Saccharomyces cerevisiae S288C: one gene and its partners. Changing the gene in region 2 together with the main gene of any one other region gives a genetic interaction. Each region holds a gene or a part of one and is shown on either strand. Other genes may lie near its edges. The genes, in order: HMO1, FPR1, UBP14 and TOM1.

Region 1 (5,142 bases), on a different chromosome or scaffold from region 2:
TAGGCATATGTCCTGTCCAATACTTCTCGTCGCTCCGTCTTTGTTATGTTTTTCCAACTTCCTTATTGTAATCGCTACCACGAATATTTCATTTGATGGCGTTCATTTAATGACTGCCTGCCATTGTTTTGTTGTCGTCGGCGAACCTTTATCGCGTTGCACGTCGGAGCTCTTTAATGAGTTCCGCTAAGAAATTACGCTAAATGGGACCTTTTCTGTAACTGATTCTGAGTATATTTCGATCTGTGAACAAGGCAGTAGAGTTACCGAAACATTTGACACTACTAAAATACTATTCTTAGGAAGATGAAAGTACCATTGGGGTTATGGAAAGTCTCTCGGGGTAATTTGTGGAGCACCCAGAAAAGGGTTTTGACAATGTCTAGATGTTTGAACAGTGATGCTGGTAATGAAGCTAAAACTGTGAGAGAAGGACCAGCTTTTTCAGCAGATCTCTATATGCATCCCGAAAAATGGAAGGGTTTACCTCCTCAAAGAATTTTAGAGTTATATTGGGAGAGAATGGCTAGATTGGGTTCAGAGTATAAACCTAACAAAGACGAACTGAATGCCTTATTAACCACTTCTGAGTACTCAAATGTACCTGTTAACGATATTAAAAAGCTATATCACAGAGGAGAACAAGGCGCTATTGATATAAAAGGTGGAAACGTGAATCGCGATAACAGTCTTAGACCGTTTATGTTTGATGAATTGCCATCGCAAGCTCAGGAATTGGTTGCCCAACATCGTGAACAAAGGTTCTATAATCGATTAGCCGCATATGAGTTACCGCTATTAGCTCAATATCGCCAGGAATACAAGAGACCATCTCCAGAAAGTCATCCGGTCACTTATAGATACACTAGTTATGTTGGCGAAGAGCATCCCAATTCGAGGAAGGTTGTATTAAGCGTTAAAACCAAGGAATTGGGCCTGGAGGAAAAATCATTACATAAGTTCAGAATATTAGCCAGGTCGCGTTATGATCATACTACAGATATTTTTAAAATGTCTAGTGACAAATTTGAGCATGCATCACAAAATGCACGTTATTTGCATGATATTCTTCAAAGGCTGTTAGCGGAGTCAAAAGATTTGACGGAGGACGATTTTAGCGATGTTCCCCTTGACACAAGGCATACTATAGCTAAGAGTTTACGTAAAAAGAAGCGGGATTATGAGTTTCCTGAACACTGGAAACGCCCTGAAGATGCACCAAAGAAGAAATTTGATATTGTAGATCAATTATTGAGCACTCTTTAATACATGTTCAAAAACAAAAAGAACGGCCCCCCTGTATATATTATGTATTTGTTTTGCTTCCTTCTTTTTCTCTAAAATGTACATAGTTTTAGCACAATACAACATTGAGAGGTTTGAAAAGGTATAATCGCAAATTTAGAACTATATACATACATATACACAACGAAAATGAAAAGGAAGATATACTGTTACAAGAGGAGAGGGATAGATACATATATATATATATATATGTGCATACACTATGGGCAAAGCAAGCCCATGCTGCTATATTTTATTCCTTTTTTTATTATTATATTTATTTTAGAAAGACAGTAGAGTAATAGTAACGAGTTTGTCCGTCCATCAAATAGAAGAGTTGGATTTGTCCTTCTTCTTATCCTTCTTCTTCTTCTTCTTCTTCTTTTCCGAAGATCCATCATCATCGTGAGGTCTCTTTTCCACAGGAGGTTCAGCGGCGTGCTGTAAACTGAAAGGAATTGGAACCGGCGCATGAGTTGGACCGTTTTCCAAGGAAGCTGGTGGTAGGGTACCGTTTTTCTTTGCTTCTAAGTATTTGGATTTCTCTCTTTGGTAATTCTCCAACTCGACGTTGTAAGCCTGCTTCCATTTTTCTTTTTCGTTATCACTCAATTCCTTCCATTTCTTGGAGATTTCTTGAGTAATCTCAGTTGAGGATAAAGGTGGCAAGCCAGCCTTTTGTCTGTCTTCACGAAGTTCTTGACGAACGTACGCAGAGTAAGCAAAGAAAACAGTCAGTGGCTTCTTTGGAGCATTTGGATCACGTTCGATCTTTCTTCTTACAGCCTTGACTGGAGCAGCGATAATAGCATCTTTATCATCATCAATAGGGTTAACCAGCTCCGAGCTGATGCCGTGCAAGTGGTTTACACCAGAAGTCAATGTTTGCAAAGACTCAGTCAAAGTGGTGAAAGCCTCTATCTTCTCTTCTTCATCGTCGCCGATGGCATTGTAGAAATCAACAATAGAGGAGGCTGTCTGATTAGCAGCTTTTGATAACTCGAAGAGGGAGGAGACGAGGGAGTCTTTGGCGGACTTCAATTTGACAGAAGGATCTGTAGTCATGGTGTGACAGGCTTGTTGTGTGTGGTAGGATGTACATCCTAGAGTATAAGGCAGTAGACCAGCCCTGAGGGCCCGCTGGGACTAATTGGTACTTCTTGCTAAGTTCTTGAAGGAAGAGAGTGTTCCAGGCAGAGTTGCCCCCCGTGGTACTGGAGAGAATCTGAGTGAATTCCCTTCCGGAAGCTTCTCTCCGCCACAACGGTCGGATGAAAAAAAAAAGCGGGAAAAAAAATGGTGAAAAACCACGTTCTCGAAGCCAATTGGTAGATAATCGAGTCGGGTAATATTTCTCAGAAGTAGGCTGGGTAACTAAGTATCTCACCAAAATGTCTTTATACTGTATACAAATGGTGGGACAAAATGGAATAAGATAAAGCCATTGGAGATCCCTTTTTTACCAGTAATCAGTTAAACAATTTCCATTAGTAGCTTACATGGATATGTGCATACGTGTGCCTAAGTAGAAATTTTTTTCACATGGATACGGTAAACAATTATAGGGTTTTAGAGCATAAAGCTGCTGGCCACGACGGTACTCTAACAGACGGTGATGGATTGCTCATCTTTAAACCGGCCTTTCCGCAGGAACTGGAATTCTACAAAGCCATACAAGTGAGAGATGTGAGTCGAAGAAAGTCTTCGGCTGATGGAGATGCTCCCTTGTGCTCTTGGATGCCCACGTATCTTGGAGTCTTGAATGAAGGGGCAAAAATCGAGCAAAGTGGCGATGCTGCGCTTCTGAAGATAGATGAGCGGTTAAGTGATTCCACTGATAATCTTGATTCAATACCTGTAAAGTCTGAGAAGTCCAAGCAATACCTCGTTTTAGAAAATCTACTATATGGATTTAGTAAACCTAATATACTTGATATAAAATTAGGCAAAACTTTGTATGATTCGAAGGCATCATTGGAAAAAAGAGAGAGAATGAAAAGAGTCAGTGAGACGACGACTTCAGGATCTTTGGGTTTCAGGATATGTGGCATGAAAATACAGAAAAATCCCTCTGTGCTGAATCAGCTTTCGCTCGAATATTACGAAGAAGAAGCAGACAGTGATTATATCTTTATAAACAAATTGTATGGTCGTTCAAGAACCGATCAAAATGTTTCAGATGCAATTGAACTTTATTTTAACAATCCTCATCTGTCGGATGCGAGAAAGCATCAACTGAAGAAAACATTTTTGAAAAGATTGCAGTTGTTTTATAATACTATGCTAGAAGAAGAAGTTAGAATGATATCAAGTAGTCTTTTGTTTATTTACGAAGGAGACCCGGAGCGATGGGAATTACTAAATGATGTTGACAAACTTATGCGAGATGATTTTATAGACGATGATGACGACGATGATGATAATGATGATGATGATGATGATGATGCCGAGGGAAGCAGCGAAGGACCAAAGGACAAAAAAACAACTGGTTCTTTGAGTTCCATGTCACTAATAGATTTTGCACATTCTGAAATAACGCCGGGGAAGGGTTATGATGAAAACGTGATTGAAGGAGTTGAAACCTTGCTAGATATTTTTATGAAATTCTAGATATATTGAGAGGTGAAGTTTACCTTGTTTATGGTATATGGTACAAAAAGAACTAAACTAATTATACGTCTATATATATATATATATATATAACAGCTTTATTAAACCTTGTTTTTTAATATAGAAGAAAATGCTTTATGATCGGTATTATTGTGTTTGCATTTACTTATGTTTGCAAGAAATTTACTCGGCAATTTTAACAATTTTACCAATTGCTATTGTGGTACCTTGATCTCTCAAAGTGAATCTACCTAATTGAGGGTAATCTTGGTAAGTTTCCACACAAACTGGAGCTTCAGTTTCTAAAACAGCGATGACCTTCATACCCTTCTTAGCAAAAGCAGGTGGTTTCTTTGACTTACGGTTGGTACCCTTTTCTAATTTGTGCAATAACTTAACAATATGTACCTCTTCAATTGCTGTATGAACATGCATAACACATGAAAAACCGGCTGCTATGATAGATTTTAATTCTACAATAGCAATTTGAGCTACAAACTTGGTAACACTCTTGATAGGGTTCTTTGGCGATGTTAGTACAAAACCTGGTGAAATGTCTTCTTCTTCAACACCTTTGATTCTTAGTTTAACTTGCTCACCACACATAGCCATATCAACTTCATTTTCAGTTTCGTTGTAAATATTTTGAATTTCCACAGCGGTTTTGTTAGGCATCAGTAGGGTGGATTGACCCTTTTTGATATGACCGGATTCAATTTTACCTTCAACGATGGTACCTAGATCCTTCATCTTAGCGGCAATAGGCAACATGAATGGAGCATTGATGTGACGGTCGACGTGGTTCATTGTATCCAGATATTCTAACAGAGTTGGGCCGGTGTACCATGGGCATTCTTTTGGATCTACGTGATCTTTCAAATTTGCACCACTGTAGCCGGATACTGGCATAAATACAACGTCTGTCTTAATGTTGTAACCAATTGCTCTCAAGAAATTGCTGACATTACTCACACATTGGTCGTAACGTTCCTTAGACCAGTTAACGGTTGGGTCATCCATCTTATTTACGACGACAACCATCTTATTAACACCTTGGGTCTTGGCCAATAGGGCGTGTTCACGAGTTTGACCACCTCTCTCAAAACCGGTTTCGTACTCACCCTTTCTGGCGGAAATGACCAAAACACCAACATCAGCTTGAGAAGCACCACCGATCATCTCGGAAACGTACATTTTATGACCAGGAGCATCCAATATGGTATAACGCCTTTTTTCAGTTTCAAAGTA
Region 2 (4,665 bases):
GAAGGTAAAGGAAAACAAATTGAATCAGAAGGGGGCAACTTAAAGAAAAAAACGGAAAACAAAAAAGGAGATGATCAACAGGATGATACCAAAAAGGATTCTAAGGACAAAAATGAACCATTAGCAAAGAGAACTAGGCATTCATCATCCACAGGTAATACTAGCAATGAAACCTCGCCGAAAAGGAAAAGGCGGAAGGCAGGCTCTCGTAAAAATAGCCCTCCTGCCACAAGAGTTTCCAGCAGGCTACGAAATAAAAAATAATCACTGCTCATATATAGATCGCGATAATAAACGCTCATCCGTTCCATAGAGGTATCTGTATTTAATGTAGTGTAGCAGATATAGAATAAAATAACCTTAATGAAGAAATAGAATATACGTATGCTTCTCCTTGTCTAATCTTTTGTAATTATATATCTATTTCAATTAAGGCTCAGATACTTACCATAAACATAAATAAAAAGCAGAAAGGCGGCTCAATTGATAGTACTTTGCTTTTAGTTGACCTTCAACAATTCGACGTCGAAAACCAAAGTACTGTTTGGTGGAATCAAACCTGGGAAACCACGTGGGCCATAAGCATATGGGCCAGGGATGGTTAACCTAGCTTTTTCACCAACAGACAACTTTGGAATACCAACATCCCAACCCTTGATGACTTGGCCGACACCGATGTTACATTGGAATGGAGAGCCCCTGTCAACGGAGGAATCGAATTTTTGGCCGTTCTCCAAGGTACCGGTGTAATGAATGGTAACCAAGTCACCTGTCTTTGGGAAGGTGGCACCATCACCTGGGGAAATTCTGTCAATTTTGACGTTACCTTCAATTACTTCAGACATTATTACTTGTTTTGATTGATTTTTTGCTTATACTCGAGTTTAGGTGAAAGGCCTTACTTTAAGCTTTCACGAGTTTATCCACCAAATTCTTTCAACGACGTCTCTCTTCCGGCAATTTTTTTTGCCCGAAAAAGACTAAGGCGGGTGAGGGGAATTGAACGGCACTATAATGTGGAGGTAAACAGAATGATCAAGCGCTATATACATAAGTAGCTATAGATTATTTATTTCAAGACGGCAACCAACTTTTCGCCAGAATTCCTCCCGTGCTTAATATCATCAAGTAACTGTGGGATATCATCTAACCCGTTCTTGTAAACTTTCACTGGGATGTGGTGGATTTCACCATCATTGATTTTTGGATTGATGAACTTAATAAATTTTATGGCGGCTTCCTTGTATTCAGGGTCTGCTGGCAAAGTAAACGTGCCAAATGGGACGTCGTTACCTCCTATCAAATATAGAAGGGTTCCTTCAATACTGACGTTTTGCCTCCTGTCTTCCTCCTTGATATCTTTTTCGGTTAAAACGGTCAATTGAACGACCGTAGCGTCTAAGTCATCAGCGGCACATTTGTACACCTGTTGAATAGTTTCTGTGTTGGAGACACAGTCCACCAAGTAAGGAATGTTGTTGTACTTCTTTTTTATCTGTTCGATAACGTCAGCATCGTGGTAGTCAAAAAGTTCATCTGCACCGTACTCTTTCAACAATTTTTCATGTTTACGAGAAGCAACGACGATGATCTTGCTGAAACCGTTTAGTTTTTTTGCCAATTGAATAAGCATCTGGCCAACAGCAGTGGCACCACCCCAAAATAAGATGGGTTGATCTCTTTGCGCTTTGGAGGGCTTCCATGTCATGTCCAAGCCAAAACTATGTGTAAGGATCATACCAGCCGTGGTCAATGAGACTGGGAGGGATACTGCCCCTTCTAAAGATTTTACGGGGCCTTCTGGTAGCTTGTCTTTACCGCACAATCTAAACTCTCTGGCTGGTTTATAAGCAGTCTCGGATGAAATGGCAGAGTACTCAGCAAAGGCACCGTTTGAGGGGAACCTCACTGAAGCACCGTGAATAACCCCATAAATGTAATCACCAATGGCAAAGCGTGCAGCATCAACATTTGGGCCCAACTTTACGATTTGGCCGGCTGCATCACAGCCTAAGAGGGCACCTTGAGGACCAATCTTGAAATCAATATGTTTCCAATCGGTAGGGTTACCGGCAACGGCGACAGTCTTAATTAGAACAAATCCTTCTTCTAATTCAGGAATTGGAATGTCCTGTTTGACTACAGCCTTGCCATTTTCAATGACAACGGCTTTCATGGTTTCTGGAATCGAGGCGGACATGCTTGATATGCAGTATGATATTGCTTTTTGCTGTGTATAGTTAACGATTTTTTTTCAACTAGAATTACAGTACTAATCAAGAAGTGAGAGGAAGAAAACGGCAAAAAAAAAACTCTCTCCTTTTAAATCGAAGCATTGCCGAAATACCTTAAAAACGGTCTTAAATCCTTAACATCTGTCCTTACTAATCGATGCCAATCCAACGGAGGGAGCCCATATGCTAGGTACTAAGAGTACGCAGGGGCGGAACCGCGCGACAACCGTAAGCGGATCCGAGGAACTTTAGTCAGCAGGGGCTGTGATGACCATTAAAAAATTGCGGACACAGGTAGTGGAACGAGCAATCAATGTGATCAATTTGCCATTTCATTCCACGAAATGGTTTCCATTCTAAGCATGAATGCTTTGACGTTACGGGTGTTGGTTATTTCGGTTCTTTTTATTGCTTCCGTGGGCACGTACGAGAAGGGAAGATGAATAGAAAAAGAGTTTCCGAGTTTTGTATGTCCAATGTTTACATAATTTATATAACTTGAAGTTTAATCTTGGCATAAAGCTCTAGTTGTGACGAAGTGTGTAGGCCATCACATCAGTTCTCCAGTTTTCTACCCAATTTTTTTATGGATACCTTGATTTTTGGTTTAGGGCTGGATGTCTTTACGCCCTTTATTTGTGTTTTACTGCCCAAACTAGTGCCGGTCTCTAAATATTTTTCTGTATTAGTAGTAGAATCGTTCTCCATTAGTAATGCTTTTTTTTTCTTTTCAAAATTGATTGCCTTGACGTCTAAGTAGTTATTCAGTTCTTTTTCCTTTTTTAGCAACTCATTCTTGCTCTTCTGGTAAAATTCCAGGTCCTCTTTACTCAACCTAGTAAAACTTTCACGGTCTCTCACCAAACCGTTATATTGTTTTTGTTTACTAATAGCATTAGACCTAAGCTGATCTCGCAGGGACTTCCTGGTTTTCCTTTTATATTCCGCTTCATATTTTTTTTGCTCCACTTGCTCTCGTATCCTCTGGGCCTCTACATTACCAACTCCTTCTGACACGAATTTCAGTGGTTTTTTCTCTCTTGCACTATTAGCATTATTATCACTGGTAGATGACATGATGATATAACAGAGCCCACAGTCTTTTGTTGGAACCGCTTTCTCTAGGCTTCGATGGACTTACATCTAATTGCACATTCTCGTGCGTTTAAACGTCATTTTTCCCTCAGATTGGCAGTGCATCAAAAGTAATTCCTAGGGACGACAAAAAGGCGGAAAAGGTTTCAGAAAAATAAGCGGACTTAGCTCAGTTGGGAGAGCGCCAGACTGAAGAAAAACTTCGGTCAAGTCATCTGGAGGTCCTGTGTTCGATCCACAGAGTTCGCAATTTGAAAAATTTTTTTTAATGATTACGCATGTGGATGTGTTCAGTATCAACCGATGCTCGCTTTTCCAATCAAATGATACAAGCCAGACCGAACATTGCATGTTTTCCATTGTAACTTCCCAGGTATATCTGAATTAGTTGTAAAAAGTAATAGTTTACCCGGAATCGTGTGAAAAATTTTGAAAAAAAAAAATGAAGAGCCAAGATACAATGAGATGAGATGAGGTGCTGAAGATGCATGGAGATTCTGTATTTATCTCAAATAAAGTACGCAATAGAGTATATAAGCCAAGTCACCTTTTATATTTCTTAGTTTTTAACTTGCAAAGACTTATAAGAGACTTATAAAACAAGGAGAAAATGGCCAAAAAAGCTATCGATTCAAGAATCCCGTCACTGATCAGGAATGGTGTTCAAACCAAACAAAGGTCCATATTTGTCATCGTTGGGGACAGGGCACGTAACCAGCTCCCAAATTTACATTATTTGATGATGAGTGCTGACCTTAAGATGAACAAGTCCGTCTTATGGGCTTATAAGAAGAAGCTTCTAGGATTCACTTCGCACAGAAAAAAAAGAGAGAATAAAATTAAGAAAGAAATTAAAAGAGGTACAAGGGAAGTGAATGAAATGGACCCTTTTGAATCTTTTATCTCTAACCAAAATATCAGATATGTATACTACAAAGAGAGTGAGAAAATATTGGGTAATACCTATGGTATGTGTATTCTTCAGGACTTCGAGGCATTAACCCCAAATCTTTTAGCAAGAACCATTGAAACTGTAGAAGGTGGTGGTATTGTGGTTATTTTATTGAAATCAATGTCATCGTTAAAGCAACTGTACACCATGACTATGGATGTTCACGCCCGTTATCGTACTGAGGCTCATGGTGACGTTGTTGCAAGATTTAACGAAAGATTCATACTTTCTTTAGGTTCAAATCCAAACTGTTTAGTCGTTGATGATGAATTAAATGTTCTACCGCTATCTGGTGCCAAAAACGTGAAACCACTACCTCCTAAGGAAGATGACGAATTGCCTCCAAAGCAATTAGAGTTGCAAGAATTAAAAGAATCCTTAGAA
Region 3 (6,543 bases), on a different chromosome or scaffold from region 2:
TGCTAACAGTTCTGGTACAGCCAATAATCCTCAAGAAATCAATACAATCCAGTCTCCAGGTATAGAGGACAAATCAATTTTTGAAAATAAAACTCCTGGAGAGTTATATTATCCAAGCGTGAGCGAATTAGATACTTATTTGGACAAAGAATTGGTCAAACAATCAAGTGATCCGACTATTTCTGAACAAAGTCCTCGTTTGAATACCCAATCACTACCACAGAGGCAAAAGAGCACAAGCTCTTATTCTTCAGGTGGCAGATCAATGAAGAGCACATCATATGGTGCAGCAACGATCGGGTCAGACGAAGCCTTGGCGAACGAGAAAACTGCTGGTATTAATAAGATGAAACAACATAAATCGAATAATCCCTTTCCAAAAATGAATGTTGCATACCATTCTACGAATGAATTGAGCAATGACGCAAGTAACTTTTTCCTGGAAGAACAACAGCAAGGCCAGAGATATCAGCAAGCTCAAAATCAAACAGGTACACAAGGGAATACCTTTCCAGATGAATCTCAGTATCAATCTAGAGTTGAACAACAGCAGCAACAACAGGACCAACCCAAAGGACCTGCTAATTATAGCCAAAGAAATTTCTACACTGGGAGGGATCGGTCCAATAAACCTATGCAGTTGGGTGGAACTATTGCTGGAGATAGTGGTAATAGAAGAGTCAACTTTCAGAATATTTCTCAAAATTACGCCACGAACTCCCAGTCAGGATATCTCCCAAGTCAAAATTCCCCAGCAATTCCAATGGTGAGACCTGTTATTTCCATGAATCAGCAGCAAGCGCAACAGATACAAGCCCAGCAATTGCAGGCACAACAGATGCAGGCAAAGCAACAGATGCAAGCCAAGCAGCAGATGCAAGTTCAGCAACAACTGCAAGTCCAACAGCAAATGCAAATTCAAAATGCAAATAATAATGGTACTTACGTCTCTGATAGAACAAATCATACCACAGAAGATATGAGAAATGCTCAGGGGGGTGAACCTCCAATTCTTGCAGGAAATTCTGCAAATGAACCAATGCACTCATCCTCTAAAAATGAAGCTCTCTTAATTGAACTATCTCCATTAAAAGAAGATGCAGGAAAGCAATCTTTCCAAGATACAAATGAGCCTCAAACTGGCGGTATCGAAGATGCCGGCGGTTCAGGAACTATCAAAGGCTCGAACAATAATCGAAATGGCGTTTTAAATTTAAGTTTGAATGAGATGGACTTATCAAGAGATGATACTGGTGCTGCTGTCTCCTCCTTTTCATCGTCTTCATCGTCTGCATCAATTCAACAAGCTAAGCTTTCTGGACGCAAAGGTTCCAGTAAGAGGAACAATTATTCAACAGACGAATTGGGAGATAGTATGGTCTCCAGCGAAAGCATTGATATTGATTTGGATGATGCAAGGAGAGGAAAAACAGCTGAAAGAAGACCACTCCATAATGAAAGAGGTCATAAAGACCAGGCAAGATCAAGTGATGCTAGTAAGTCTAATCAATTCAAAAGCAAGGACTTCAGCAGCGTATCAACAAGGCAACCGCGGCAGTCATTGGATCTGAATTTCCAGGAAGTAAATCTGTCTTCACCAACGTTAACTCAAGAGCATAGAAATAAAAACGACTCGCCAGCACCAAATTCACATCACTCGTATAGAGTTTCACCTCATGCTTCCACCGCAATAACTGAGAATAAGCGCCACAGTACTGGTCACGAACTGTCAACCCGGTCAAATGGCAAGCATGAAACACACAGGACTGGTTCCAAGCAAAGGCACGATTTGGAAAGATACCGGCATTCGAAGGATAAGGATAGCAATAGCAGCATTACTATTAGCACCTCAACTCCATCAGAGATGAGAAAATCCTTCGCTAGGGCCCGTCAATCGCTTGATTTGGAAAGGGTCCGTCGTGAAGCGATGGCAAGTAGTGCATCCAGTAGTGGTGGCAGTAACGGGAAAAGGAGATCTTTTTTCTCAGTCTTTAGAAGCGAGAAATGATTCGATAAATAGAGCACATATAAAATCATATACATACATTGTTACATATAGAGGCGCAGACAATCCGTATATCTTCCTCAAAAACTAAATTGATAGAACAATAGTAACTCAAATCATATGCATTAAGCATATCGTGCGAGATGACGTTTACTCCTGACGCGCTTAACGAGAAGCGGTTAAGTGAAGAGTAATAGTGCTCGCAATTTGACAGAAATGACACCATTTTAAAAGTACTAGAGATAAAGAGTGTAGAAACCGGAAGAACAAAGGTGGAACATATCATAAGGGGAAGAAATGACACAACATAAAAGCTCGATGGTGTACATACCCACCACTAAGGAAGCTAAAAGACGTAATGGGAAATCAGAAGGCATACTAAATACTATTGAAGAAGTGGTGGAAAAGCTTTATTGGACCTACTACATACATTTACCCTTTTATTTAATGGCCTCTTTTGATTCATTCTTCCTCCATGTTTTTTTTCTCACAATTTTCAGTTTGAGTTTCTTCGGTATACTAAAGTATTGCTTCCTTTGAATGATTATTTATATCCTTATTCGGTTAATAATAGTATAAGCTGGAGGCAAGGGGACAGAAAATTTAGGAGGATATCATGGAGGATAGAGTTACATAAATATACACACAATACATAAACTAATAATTGCTTGTGGCTATAGGATATAATTTATAACAGTTGATGTGCCTTTGAAAAATGACATCGTTTGGAATGAGATCAAATTTATCACTTGATGAAATCACAGTGAAAAGCGACTTGCAATGGCAGTAGAGATGACAGGTAAATTCATCCAAAAAGAGAGCCCGAAGTCTTTCTCACATTCAGAAATGGCAGAAGCAGTACTAGAAAACGTTAACGTTCCTGCAGTCGTTTCAAAAGATGAGTGTATTTATTGCTTTGAATCCCCTTATAATGAACCATTGGCCCTCAATGCATCACCTAAACATTCATTGAATATATGCTTAAACTGTTTCCAAGCTACGTGCAACAGACATGTTCCACTCCATATCCGAGTCACAGAATATGCTTGCGATACCATACATTCCAATTATTTAACTATTGCTAAAGTGGAGAAACCTAAGCAAGAAAATGTAGAAGAAAATAATAACAACAAAAAAATAAAGCTACAGGTAATTGAGACGTCAGAAGACGACACCCACAACACTATTTGGAGTTTACAAAGGTTCAATGGTGAAAATGTTCCCAGGACCGTACTTTCGAAGTCGACAGACTCTGACATTTCTTCTACGGCCTTGGAGAAGATTGAAAAGATATTAAAGGCGAAGTCACAAGACTTCGAGGATAAGAAGAACTCCTGGGTGTTAGAAATCAGCACCTGTCCACATACAGAAAACTTTCAAATTCCATCTAAGCCCGAAAATACTGTGAATTTAAACCAATGCTCTTCCTGTGATTTGACTCAAAATCTCTGGTTATGCCTACATTGTGGTAATATCGGATGTGGCAGGGAACAAATCGGGATTGATGGTCACTCGCATGCTTTGGATCATTATCGGAGTAATAATAATCACCCATTAGCTATCAAATTAGGGTCTTTAAGCTCTTCAACCTATGATCTGTATTGTTACGCATGTGACGACGAAACTAGATTTCCAGATAATGTTAATTTAGGCAGTGCACTACAAATATACGGAATTAACATACAAGAAAAGATTGCGGATGAAAAGACTCTAGTTCAATTACAAGTGGAACAGAACGAAAATTGGCAATTTAGAATGGTCGATTCTAGCGGTAAAGAATTTGAAAAATTATCCGCTAGTAAGAATTATGGCTGTGGTCTGATCAATTTGGGTAATTCCTGTTACTTAAATTCGGTTATACAAAGCTTGGTGAATGGTGGCGTCCCGAATTGGTCCTTGGATTTTCTAGGAAGTAAATTTCCACTGGATGTTGTATATCCGGACAATAATTTAAAGTGCCAATGGATCAAGCTACTCAATGCCATGAAATGTGAACCCGAACTATATCCAAATGGTATCAAACCTACTACTTTCAAGAAATGCATTGGGCAAAATCATCAGGAATTCAGTTCCAATAGACAACAGGATGCGATGGAATTTCTAACCTTCCTTTTAGACTTGTTAGACAAGAAATTTTTTTCAAGTAGTTCTTCAGGTATTCCAAATCCCAACGATTTAGTTAGATTTATGATGGAGGATAGGCTCCAATGTAACATTTGCGGGAAGGTTAAATATTCTTATGAACCCACAGAGGCTATACAGATTCCCTTAGAGGAGAATGATGAACCTCAAGATATGTTAGAGAGAATCAAGGCGTATTTTGAAGGGCAGACGATTGAATTTAAATGTGCTAATTGTAAGGAAAAGGTTACCGCAAATAAAAAACCTGGTTTCAAATCTCTTCCTCAAACACTTATTTTGAACCCAATAAGGATTAGATTACAGAACTGGATTCCTGTTAAGACAAGTAATGAGCTTTCTTTACCAGGTTTAATAGACAGGGATGATATGCTAGATGTTTCGTCTTATTTATCACAAGGATTTGATCCTCAAACTGAAAACTTATTGCCTGATGAGGACGAAAACCGTAGCTCTTTTACGCCAAACCAATGCAGTATTTCTCAATTAATTGAAATGGGCTTTACTCAAAATGCTAGCGTGCGCGCCCTATTTAACACCGGAAACCAAGACGCTGAGAGCGCTATGAATTGGCTATTCCAGCATATGGATGACCCTGATTTAAATGATCCCTTTGTCCCGCCTCCTAATGTCCCCAAGAAAGATAAGAGAGAAGTGGATGAGGTATCATTGACTTCAATGTTATCCATGGGACTAAATCCCAACTTATGTCGTAAAGCCTTGATACTCAACAACGGAGATGTTAATCGTAGTGTTGAATGGGTATTTAACAACATGGATGATGATGGAACATTTCCCGAACCTGAAGTGCCAAATGAAGAACAGCAACAAAAAAAGGATCTTGGATATTCGACCGCTAAACCGTACGCTTTAACTGCAGTTATTTGTCATAAGGGAAATTCTGTCCATTCTGGTCACTATGTTGTTTTTATTCGTAAACTAGTGGCAGACAAATGGAAGTGGGTTCTTTATAACGATGAGAAACTAGTTGCTGCCGACAGCATTGAAGATATGAAAAAAAATGGTTATATTTATTTCTATACAAGATGCTAAAAGAACGTTTACACACACACACACACACACACACACATATATATATATATATATATATATATATATATATATATATTTTGCATTATATGTGTATGATCAAATCTATCGAGTTAAATATTTCTACATATTTCAGTAATAAATCCATTTCCATTAGCTATTTTGCAATGTTTTTTCTTTTTTTTTTTTGCTGCTGTTACCTTCGCCGCTAAAAAATCATTTAAAACAAGAAAAGAGTACATTGTTTGATGAAACAACAAGCAAGAAATGTAAACGATAGTCAAACTTAGTAAGAAGAGAATCAGCTGGCTTGGTACTTGATCTTTTGATTTGACCTCATTCTTTTTGCATACACGGCTCGTTTGGAATACTGTTGTAAAAATGAATTACATGGCTTATGATTATGATCCCCAACATTCGTTGGAAACGTCCTTTAACAATTTGGCATTTCATCCCCACCAACAGTCACAGCAACAAGCCCTATACGAATCTGGTGAAAGAAACGATGCCAGGCCGGGATTAATGAACACCTTAGGTCAGGCGAGTAAAATGAATAATTCCATGCTTCCTCAAGGTTCGTCGGCTAGTCCCTTAACGGGTCAACATAGCTTGAACAGTACAACAAATTTCAACATGCCCCCATCAATGAATACCTATAATTACCAGAATGTACCACAAGCATCTATGAGAAATACTCTCAATCATAACAATATCATGAATGGGGCAACTGCTAATGATTATTGGCTGGATCCAATGAATAATATGACAAATAACAAGGATACTAATGGGAATCCTAATGACTCGATGTCATCAATGTCTAATATGACCGCTAAAACCTCAATCAATAGTACGGCATTCAAGAATTCATTTGTTCCTTTTAATCATGTGACAGCGCTCTCAATGAATAATGTCAACAGCAATGAGATGAATTCAAATAAAGATGACAGAATGGAAGCATTGGAAGTAGAACTACAAATAAAGGAAAGTCAAATCGAATCACTCGAGAACGAAATTCAAAGGCTAAAGAAAATTTTCAACGAGGGGCTAAACTACAAGCAGAATGAGCATAAGTATGAGAAGGAAAACTGCCATATACCCCAAACTTTCGAATTGCCAGCTTCCTTGGAAGTGATATTCAGAAAACTGTCATCGTCACTGCATGCAAAGGAAAAGGAGTTAGCAGAGACGAAAGAAAATCTGGAAAGTATATTAACTGCACTGGCGCTAAATCCAACAAATTCAGTGACTAAGTATGGCAGGTATGATGCAGAATCGATTGCTCACAAAATGGTGGTAAGATTAGAAAACTTAACAAACGAGAACAAAGAAATGGCCAAGATGTTAGCATA
Region 4 (6,632 bases), on a different chromosome or scaffold from region 2:
TTTTAATTGGTGGGAATATTAGGTCCCAATGCAATTCATATAATTCCTTGGTATAGATGTTCACATTAGTGAATATATTTTTGAGCATACTAAGAAGTTGCTTGAAAACTGAGTAAGGCACATTACGGGACTGTGTCTTGAAGAGGCTATCCGATTTATCCAAATCTAAAATCATTGCGAGAGCCATTACCTTAATAGGAACTGTTAAAGCTTTCATAATATTATAATCGTCATCTATTGAAACGTAATACTTACCAATACTTTGGACATTCTCCATGGTTTCAGTTTGCATTGATTTGTTGTAAAAGGTGAGAGCATTAATTAAACAGCTTAAGGTTAGGATACCGTTGGACTCATCTATGTAGTTTATGTTATCAAGTGAGGATAAATCTTTTATTTTTGTCATTCTCGTAAAGAGATCCCTTATAATGTGCAAATAAAGTAAATAGCCCCCCTTTTGATAGAAAATATAAGCCGGTATTGTTTGTAATATTTCAGTGGAATTAGGGGAAGCCTTTGGAATAGTAAACACAAAGGTGTTGAAGTTTAATAAAACGAGAATATACGGTAGATGACCTTCGAGTTCGGTGGCCTTCAACATTTCAATAACATTTTCAACAACGTTCTCAAATATATGAACTTCTGTCGTCAAATCTTTATGCTCTAGATCCATATTCCTAGAGTGGCTTAACCTTAAAAAGCAGCGAAATAGAATTGCAGTATTTGATTGTAATGTATACAGTATTGTTCGCATTTGAAGAGTATTTCTCGTTTTTACGCTGGTAATTTTCCCCTTTTGATCACCCTTTTTTGGGTCATCGATATAAATTTGAAGTGGTGGTCCATCTCCGGAAACATCCACTATAGGCAACGGCATTGTTTCTGTAATAACAGAATCTGGCATATGTTGGCGTATGTACATTTCCTCCAACGCACATTTCTGGAATAGCAACTTTAAGTTTTTAATTAAAGAAAATCCTCTTTTGTCAAAATAAGAATAGATCTGCATGATTCTCTTACAAGATAAGGTAGTGAGGTCAATGTATACATTCGTAACAATGTTCAAAATAGCGGCAAGTCGACAAAGTTTTGAATGGCATGAACGCACCGAGTTTTCCCCATCTCTTTCTAAAAAGAAACTTCTATCATTTGGACTATTCAAAAAATCATTCAGGTTCTCCAATTGATCGTTCAATACTTTCATAACATCCATGAATGCGTAGTCTTCGTATTTTTCATCCAGATACTGGAGGACCTCAGTAACATTTGAGATTGCCACGGAGGTAAAGTATTCATAAGGAGGATTTTCCATAAATATTATTGCCAGAAAATCTCTCGCTTCCAGATGTTGTGGCACCTGTGAAAAAGAACCATTTCCTAAAGACATACCAAACAAAACACTGGTAAATGTGTCCAGCATAGTTCCCTTATCTAATAGCTCCCAGTATGCAGGTTCATGTTCCTCTTTATCTGTCAATATTTCCTCATTTTTTCTGTGAAAAAAGTACTTTTGATCTTTTGGTGAAGTAAAAAGAAACTCTCTTTCATTTCTAAAGGTACTTGGCATTTTTCTGATGACGTTACACAAAGCCTCCACGATATTTGCCTTTAAGTCTGGATAATGTCTTGCTAATTCATCAATGTCAGTACCATATTCCGTAGAACGATCTCCACCTGTTAATATACGCGCGTGGTCAGCATCGAGTAAGAAATCAAACAAATTGTTTATGAGACCCTTTTCTTTAACTTGCTTCAGCCCTTCTGGATTCAAGCATATGGCAGAAACGACATCTGGAAGTAAACTTAATAATTCGGCGGAAGGCCCAATTAACTTTGGAAAATTATCGATAACATATGGAATAAGTCCTGCTTCAACCAGAACAGGATAAATAGTAGGCTCACTATTTATTACTTTCTGAACTACATCCAGAGTGTAAGTTATTAATGTTAAACCGAATACAAGTTTATTTTCTAGGATTTTCTTTAATGAAACAAGTATCGGCGAATCTATTAAATTTCTAATTCTATCCCCTGAGTCTGTGCTTAATAATTTGAGAACGAGTTTCAATAAACTTCTAATATATGCCAACTCCCTAAAAGAAATTGAATAATAAACCACTGAATATTTTGGCGGTTGCCACGTCTCTGGATGTGCAAGCGTGAAATCAATCTCATTGGCGACTGAAGTGATCAGCATAGTAAACCCATCATTTTCGATAAATTCAGTGGTAGTTTCACTGTTATCTATAAATGTTTCTAGGAGATGGGTAGCAGATGCGAGGGTACGCTTATATGGGCAATTTCTTATAGATACAATTTCCAATAAAGTAGGTATTAAACCCGCGGCGAAAAGAGATTCATGCAAAGGCTTAACGTCAGCTAAATTTGATATCAAGTAAAAGAACCTCACATTATATTCTTCATCGATTTCGTCTGTCGCTTCTCTCAATGTCTTGGCAATGTAACGGAGAATCTGAAACAACAGACCATGCGATATGTTACCACCGAGATTTCTGATAATGTCTGAGCACCAGACATGCTTCAAGGATATACATTCCAATGTGAATAAAGCATCCGTTCTTAGCTCTTTTGGTATTTTGGTTTCAGACAACGATATCAAATCAGTTAGACTATTAAAAGCATACGGATCTAATTCAAATAACTTCGAGCTTACTTGAGGAGGCGAGAAAATGGTGTTAACAAATGCAATAGCATTCAGTTTTGTTTCAATAATTATATTTCTCAAATCTATATTTTCACCTGAATCATCACTGAAGGCCTTCGCCACCGAAGCTTTTATTGAGAAATCAAACCAACTTTCTGCGGGTAAAAGGGCCATACCCTTATCAAATATTTGCTGTAGTGAGTGTTCACACAGTTCTTGGGTCGTCATAGTTACCTTCTTAATGGAAGTTTGGGTTTCATTAATGTTATTTTTTTGCTGGCTTGACTTTTTAAAGTCGTTTGAAGTATAATGTGTAAATCTCAACTTTCTCCATTTTTGAGGCACTTTTTTCTTATCAAAATATAGATCGACAAGAGAAAAGTGCTCTCCGTCTTCATCCATGACGGAAGATGACAGAGATAAAGCTAGTTTGAGAGTTTTTTTCCTGAGGTTGTGATCTCCAAATATGTTATGTGCAACTATTTTTTCTCTCGCAATCACAAACCTTTCCCCTAAAATGGCTAAAATTCGCATGACCGCTAGTTTTATTGTAAAATTCGGACAATTCAGTAGATACATTAAAACATCTCCAGATGAATAAACAAACCTGTTTTCTGTATTTAGAAGTAGTCGACGAGTAAACTTTAGCATTTTCAAACAATAATCAACATCATGCGCTTCCATTTCCACCAATTTGACTTCACACTCCTTCTTGGGGTCTTGCTTGTATTTATATTTCTCTGCCACTTTTAACAACAGCCCGTCCATTCTGTCTAGAATGGGAATCCAAACATAAAGATCATCTCTGGATCGGTCCCACTCTTGGATTGCCTCAATTCTTTCTAAAAATGTGGGAGTATCACAATCAATCAAATAATCAACTAAGGGCTTATAACCAGCGGCGAGTTTCTCCTTTCTTGCCTTTTCACACCGAGTAAAAAGCACCATGAATATATATTTTCAATCAAAGGCAAAAAGTAAACTAAATATGCACTATTTTCTCACCAATTATACGAGTAGTTATGGATATTCAGTAACTAAGGTATTTGAAAAATATTCGTTGTTTTACCTTTTCTTCTTTTCCTCTCCCAAAATCATGGTGATTTAGTATCGGCTCATTAAAAGCTAGCTGAAATTCCTCATTATCACAAAGCGGCAAAACTGAAAGCAGTCGGGTAACGTGCGAAATATGATTAAATAAGATCAATCCTACTAGCGTGTATATAACAGTACATGATTTAAAATGAATAAAGTGTAGAAGGGTATTCCTTCGGCGTTGAGTAAGAGAGAATGTATAAAGACTTAATTAATATATTTATATTAGAAACAAGGAAACCATACACTTTAAAGTCTAGTGGTTTTGGGAAGAGAAATCTGCAGGTGATTGCGTAGCCGAATCTTGTAAGGATGGAGAAACGTTGTCCAAGAATACTGGCTTCAATACCTGTTCATCAAAATTTTGAAACCATTGTGAGTCGGAATTAAAGATTGTTCCCAGTTTATCTCTCAAATTACGCTTATCCATAGAAGACCTTGCCGGGTTAGGGCTAGTATTCTCAGTTTCATTAAGGCCTCCAAAAGTATTACCACCAGTTGTGGATATGTTATTGGGGAGATTCTTGTTACTGCTGACCGCGAATTGGTCAATTGAAATATCTGGAGAATTGTTGTCAGAATATGGGCCCAAATCTGTCTGAATAGAACTACCGTTCAATAAATTTATCGCCCTTGGAGCCTCTATATCAAACTCGTCATCAGATGTATCTTCTTCACTTATGCAACCAGTCTTAATATTTAAAACTTCTAACATTCCTGCAGTAGTGCCCCCAAAAATGATAACTGTTAAAACAACAACAACAAGGACCGTTGCCAATAAAGTGAACTTATACTCACCTTGAATTCCCAACGCCAAGGCGACACCAACAGCACCACGTAAACCTGCCCAAAATGTCATCATTTGGTAATTGTAGGGTATTTCATCGGGAACAGAAATATTTTCTCCGGTTATGCCGCTCATAGATCTGATTGTCTTTACTCTATATATCCAGTTAACAAATTGCGACAATGGGAACACAGCACACCAACGAGCAACACATATAGAAATAGCTGCCACAATAATTAGCAGTGGCTTATAGACTAGTTCTACTTCAGTAAAAAGTTCTAAACCTAGATAGATAAAGATGAAATTCTCTGATAATCTTGCCAATAGTTGGAAAATATACTTAATGGTGATCTGTGATCTTCTTGACATGTTATAATAGGCGTAATGTTTTAAAGTAATTCCGCAAAATAACAAGGAGACGATACCGGACATATGGCAACCGTTGGAGAAAAAATAGGATTCATAAGCAATCAACAAGATCAAACAACTCTCAATTTGAGGATAGCGCCTTATGTGAGTGTGTTTCAACAGAAGAGCAACAAGAATTCCTATAAGAACGCCTATCAACAACGAAACGGAGAAAGTCATCAAAAAGAGGCCTGCCCCTTCAAAAACCGACGAAAATGTTGCAGGTTGACCATGAAATTTTTGACAGGTTTCAAACATAACAATAGAGATGGCATCATTTAACAGTGATTCTCCAAAAATGATGGTATATAGCTTAGGATCCACTTTATACGCATTGAAAATTGAAAGAATTGTAACAGGGTCGGTAGCAGATAATGTAGCACCAACAGACATTGCATCTGCGAATGAAATGTCAATACTCTCTAGTCCTAAAAAGGTCCAGATATACAATATGATTCCAATAACCACAGCAGATATGAAGGTGCCCGGTATGGCGAAAATTAAGATAGATAACATATTATTGAAAAAGTTCACTTGATTCAACTCGTACCCACTATTTAAAATAATTGGCGGCAATAGAACATTAAAAAAGTAGGATGAATTAAAAGTAACCGTATCTTGAATATAATGCCCGGGGGACATCCTTATTATCAAGCCAATAACCATACCATAAAAAATAGAAAGCACAGTTTCATGCACTGCCCTAATTCGTTTCTGAGTTAAATAGTAACTAGACCACAATGCAGAGATCAATAGGAGCAACATAATGAACAATGCCCATGAAGAGAACATTTCTTCTGTAACAGGGTTTAAGTCTACATCAGGATCACCTGCAATAGGGTCATCGCTACCCGGGAGATCCGGGGAAGGTAGAAGTTCATCATCATCGTCAGGATCAACTGCTCTCTTGGCGGTGGTTAACAGCACCTTGAAAGCTATATTCAGCAATACCTTGGATAGCATTTTTCATATGGTATGTACTGACAGCGATAAAAGATTATCCTCTGAATTTCACTGCTTGCAATCTATGTTTAATCTACAACTATTTGTCAATCTTGGGTGCCCTTTATCTTAGAGTAGCTAGAAAAGCAACGGAAACAGAAAAAGTCACACCGTGAATAATGATTGTTCGATATCAACTTTTGCAGTTCCTTGCTATCACGTTTGTGCAAGGTATATCATCTGTCATAATCCTTTGGCAAGACTACTGCTCTGCTACTCCTTGTGTGTGCTCACGGCAGGCTACAATGCAAAATTCATCCTAAACTCTGCTCTATAAGCATTAATAAGGTGAAATTTTCACAGCCTTTACATAAAAAACGACAGTAAGTGTATAAATGTGATTGTCAAAACTGCGACGATTCGAAATGATAGCTATTTGAAGTGTAGGTTATATCGACAGGAAGTTTCGGTTCTCGAAATATGTGATGCGTCTTTCCGGCGGCGTCGATGCTAATAGCAACCGTACTCATCGGTACATTCCAAATTTCGAAAAAAAGCTTGGAAACACATAAAAAAGAAAAAAAAAAATACATTTAGCATAAATGGATACACAATGGCGTTTCTTTTTAGTTGATAACTACAGTTTACTTCGGATAAAGATTAGTAAACCTTTGCGTTATGTCCCGTCCTATCGTAATTTCTGGCCCAAGTGGTACAGGTAAATCTACACTGTTG

What was found.
Region 1: mutations in FPR1 (region 2) and HMO1 are lethal when combined (synthetic lethality), as found in Saccharomyces cerevisiae (5 studies listed by BioGRID, with this or other methods).
Region 3: mutations in FPR1 (region 2) and UBP14 together harm fitness more than expected from each alone (negative genetic interaction), as found in Saccharomyces cerevisiae (2 studies listed by BioGRID).
Region 4: mutations in FPR1 (region 2) and TOM1 together harm fitness more than expected from each alone (negative genetic interaction), as found in Saccharomyces cerevisiae (2 studies listed by BioGRID).

The regions. Positions count from the first base shown.
Region 1 is NC_001136.10:809,317-814,458, reverse strand, and holds HMO1 (Hmo1p), read right to left. Parts: upstream 2,350-5,142; coding exon 1,609-2,349; downstream 1-1,608. Other genes in the region: histone acetyltransferase NGG1, read right to left, coding at 1-7; mitochondrial 37S ribosomal protein mS35 RSM24, read left to right, coding at 307-1,266; ARG82 (inositol polyphosphate multikinase), read left to right, coding at 2,827-3,894; SUP35 (translation termination factor GTPase eRF3), read right to left, coding at 4,078-5,142. UniProt on the Saccharomyces cerevisiae protein: DNA-binding protein that is probably part of the rDNA transcription apparatus. Acts synergetically with the RPA49 subunit of RNA polymerase I during rDNA transcription. May participate in mutagenesis control.
Region 2 is NC_001146.8:371,382-376,046, forward strand, and holds FPR1 (peptidylprolyl isomerase FPR1), read right to left. Parts: upstream 846-4,665; coding exon 501-845; downstream 1-500. Other genes in the region: EAF7 (Eaf7p), read left to right, coding at 1-264; YNL134C (uncharacterized protein), read right to left, coding at 1,070-2,200; FYV6 (Fyv6p), read right to left, coding at 2,790-3,311; ribosome biosynthesis protein KRE33, read left to right, coding at 3,940-4,665. UniProt on the Saccharomyces cerevisiae protein: PPIases accelerate the folding of proteins. It catalyzes the cis-trans isomerization of proline imidic peptide bonds in oligopeptides.
Region 3 is NC_001134.8:352,326-358,868, reverse strand, and holds UBP14 (ubiquitin-specific protease UBP14), read left to right. Parts: upstream 1-2,851; coding exon 2,852-5,197; downstream 5,198-6,543. Other genes in the region: serine/threonine protein kinase AKL1, read left to right, coding at 1-2,008; TSC3 (Tsc3p), read left to right, coding at 2,303-2,545; MUM2 (Mum2p), read left to right, coding at 5,576-6,543. UniProt on the Saccharomyces cerevisiae protein: Required for the adaptation to the presence of glucose in the growth medium; mediates the degradation of enzymes involved in gluconeogenesis when cells are shifted to glucose-containing medium.
Region 4 is NC_001136.10:1,366,771-1,373,402, reverse strand, and holds the start of TOM1 (E3 ubiquitin-protein ligase TOM1), read right to left. Parts: upstream 3,614-6,632; coding exon 1-3,613. Other genes in the region: bifunctional K:H/Na:H antiporter NHX1, read right to left, coding at 4,017-5,918; GUK1 (guanylate kinase), read left to right, coding at 6,576-6,632. UniProt on the Saccharomyces cerevisiae protein: Probable ubiquitin ligase protein involved in many cellular processes, such as transcription regulation, maintenance of nuclear structure, cell cycle, mRNA export and rRNA maturation.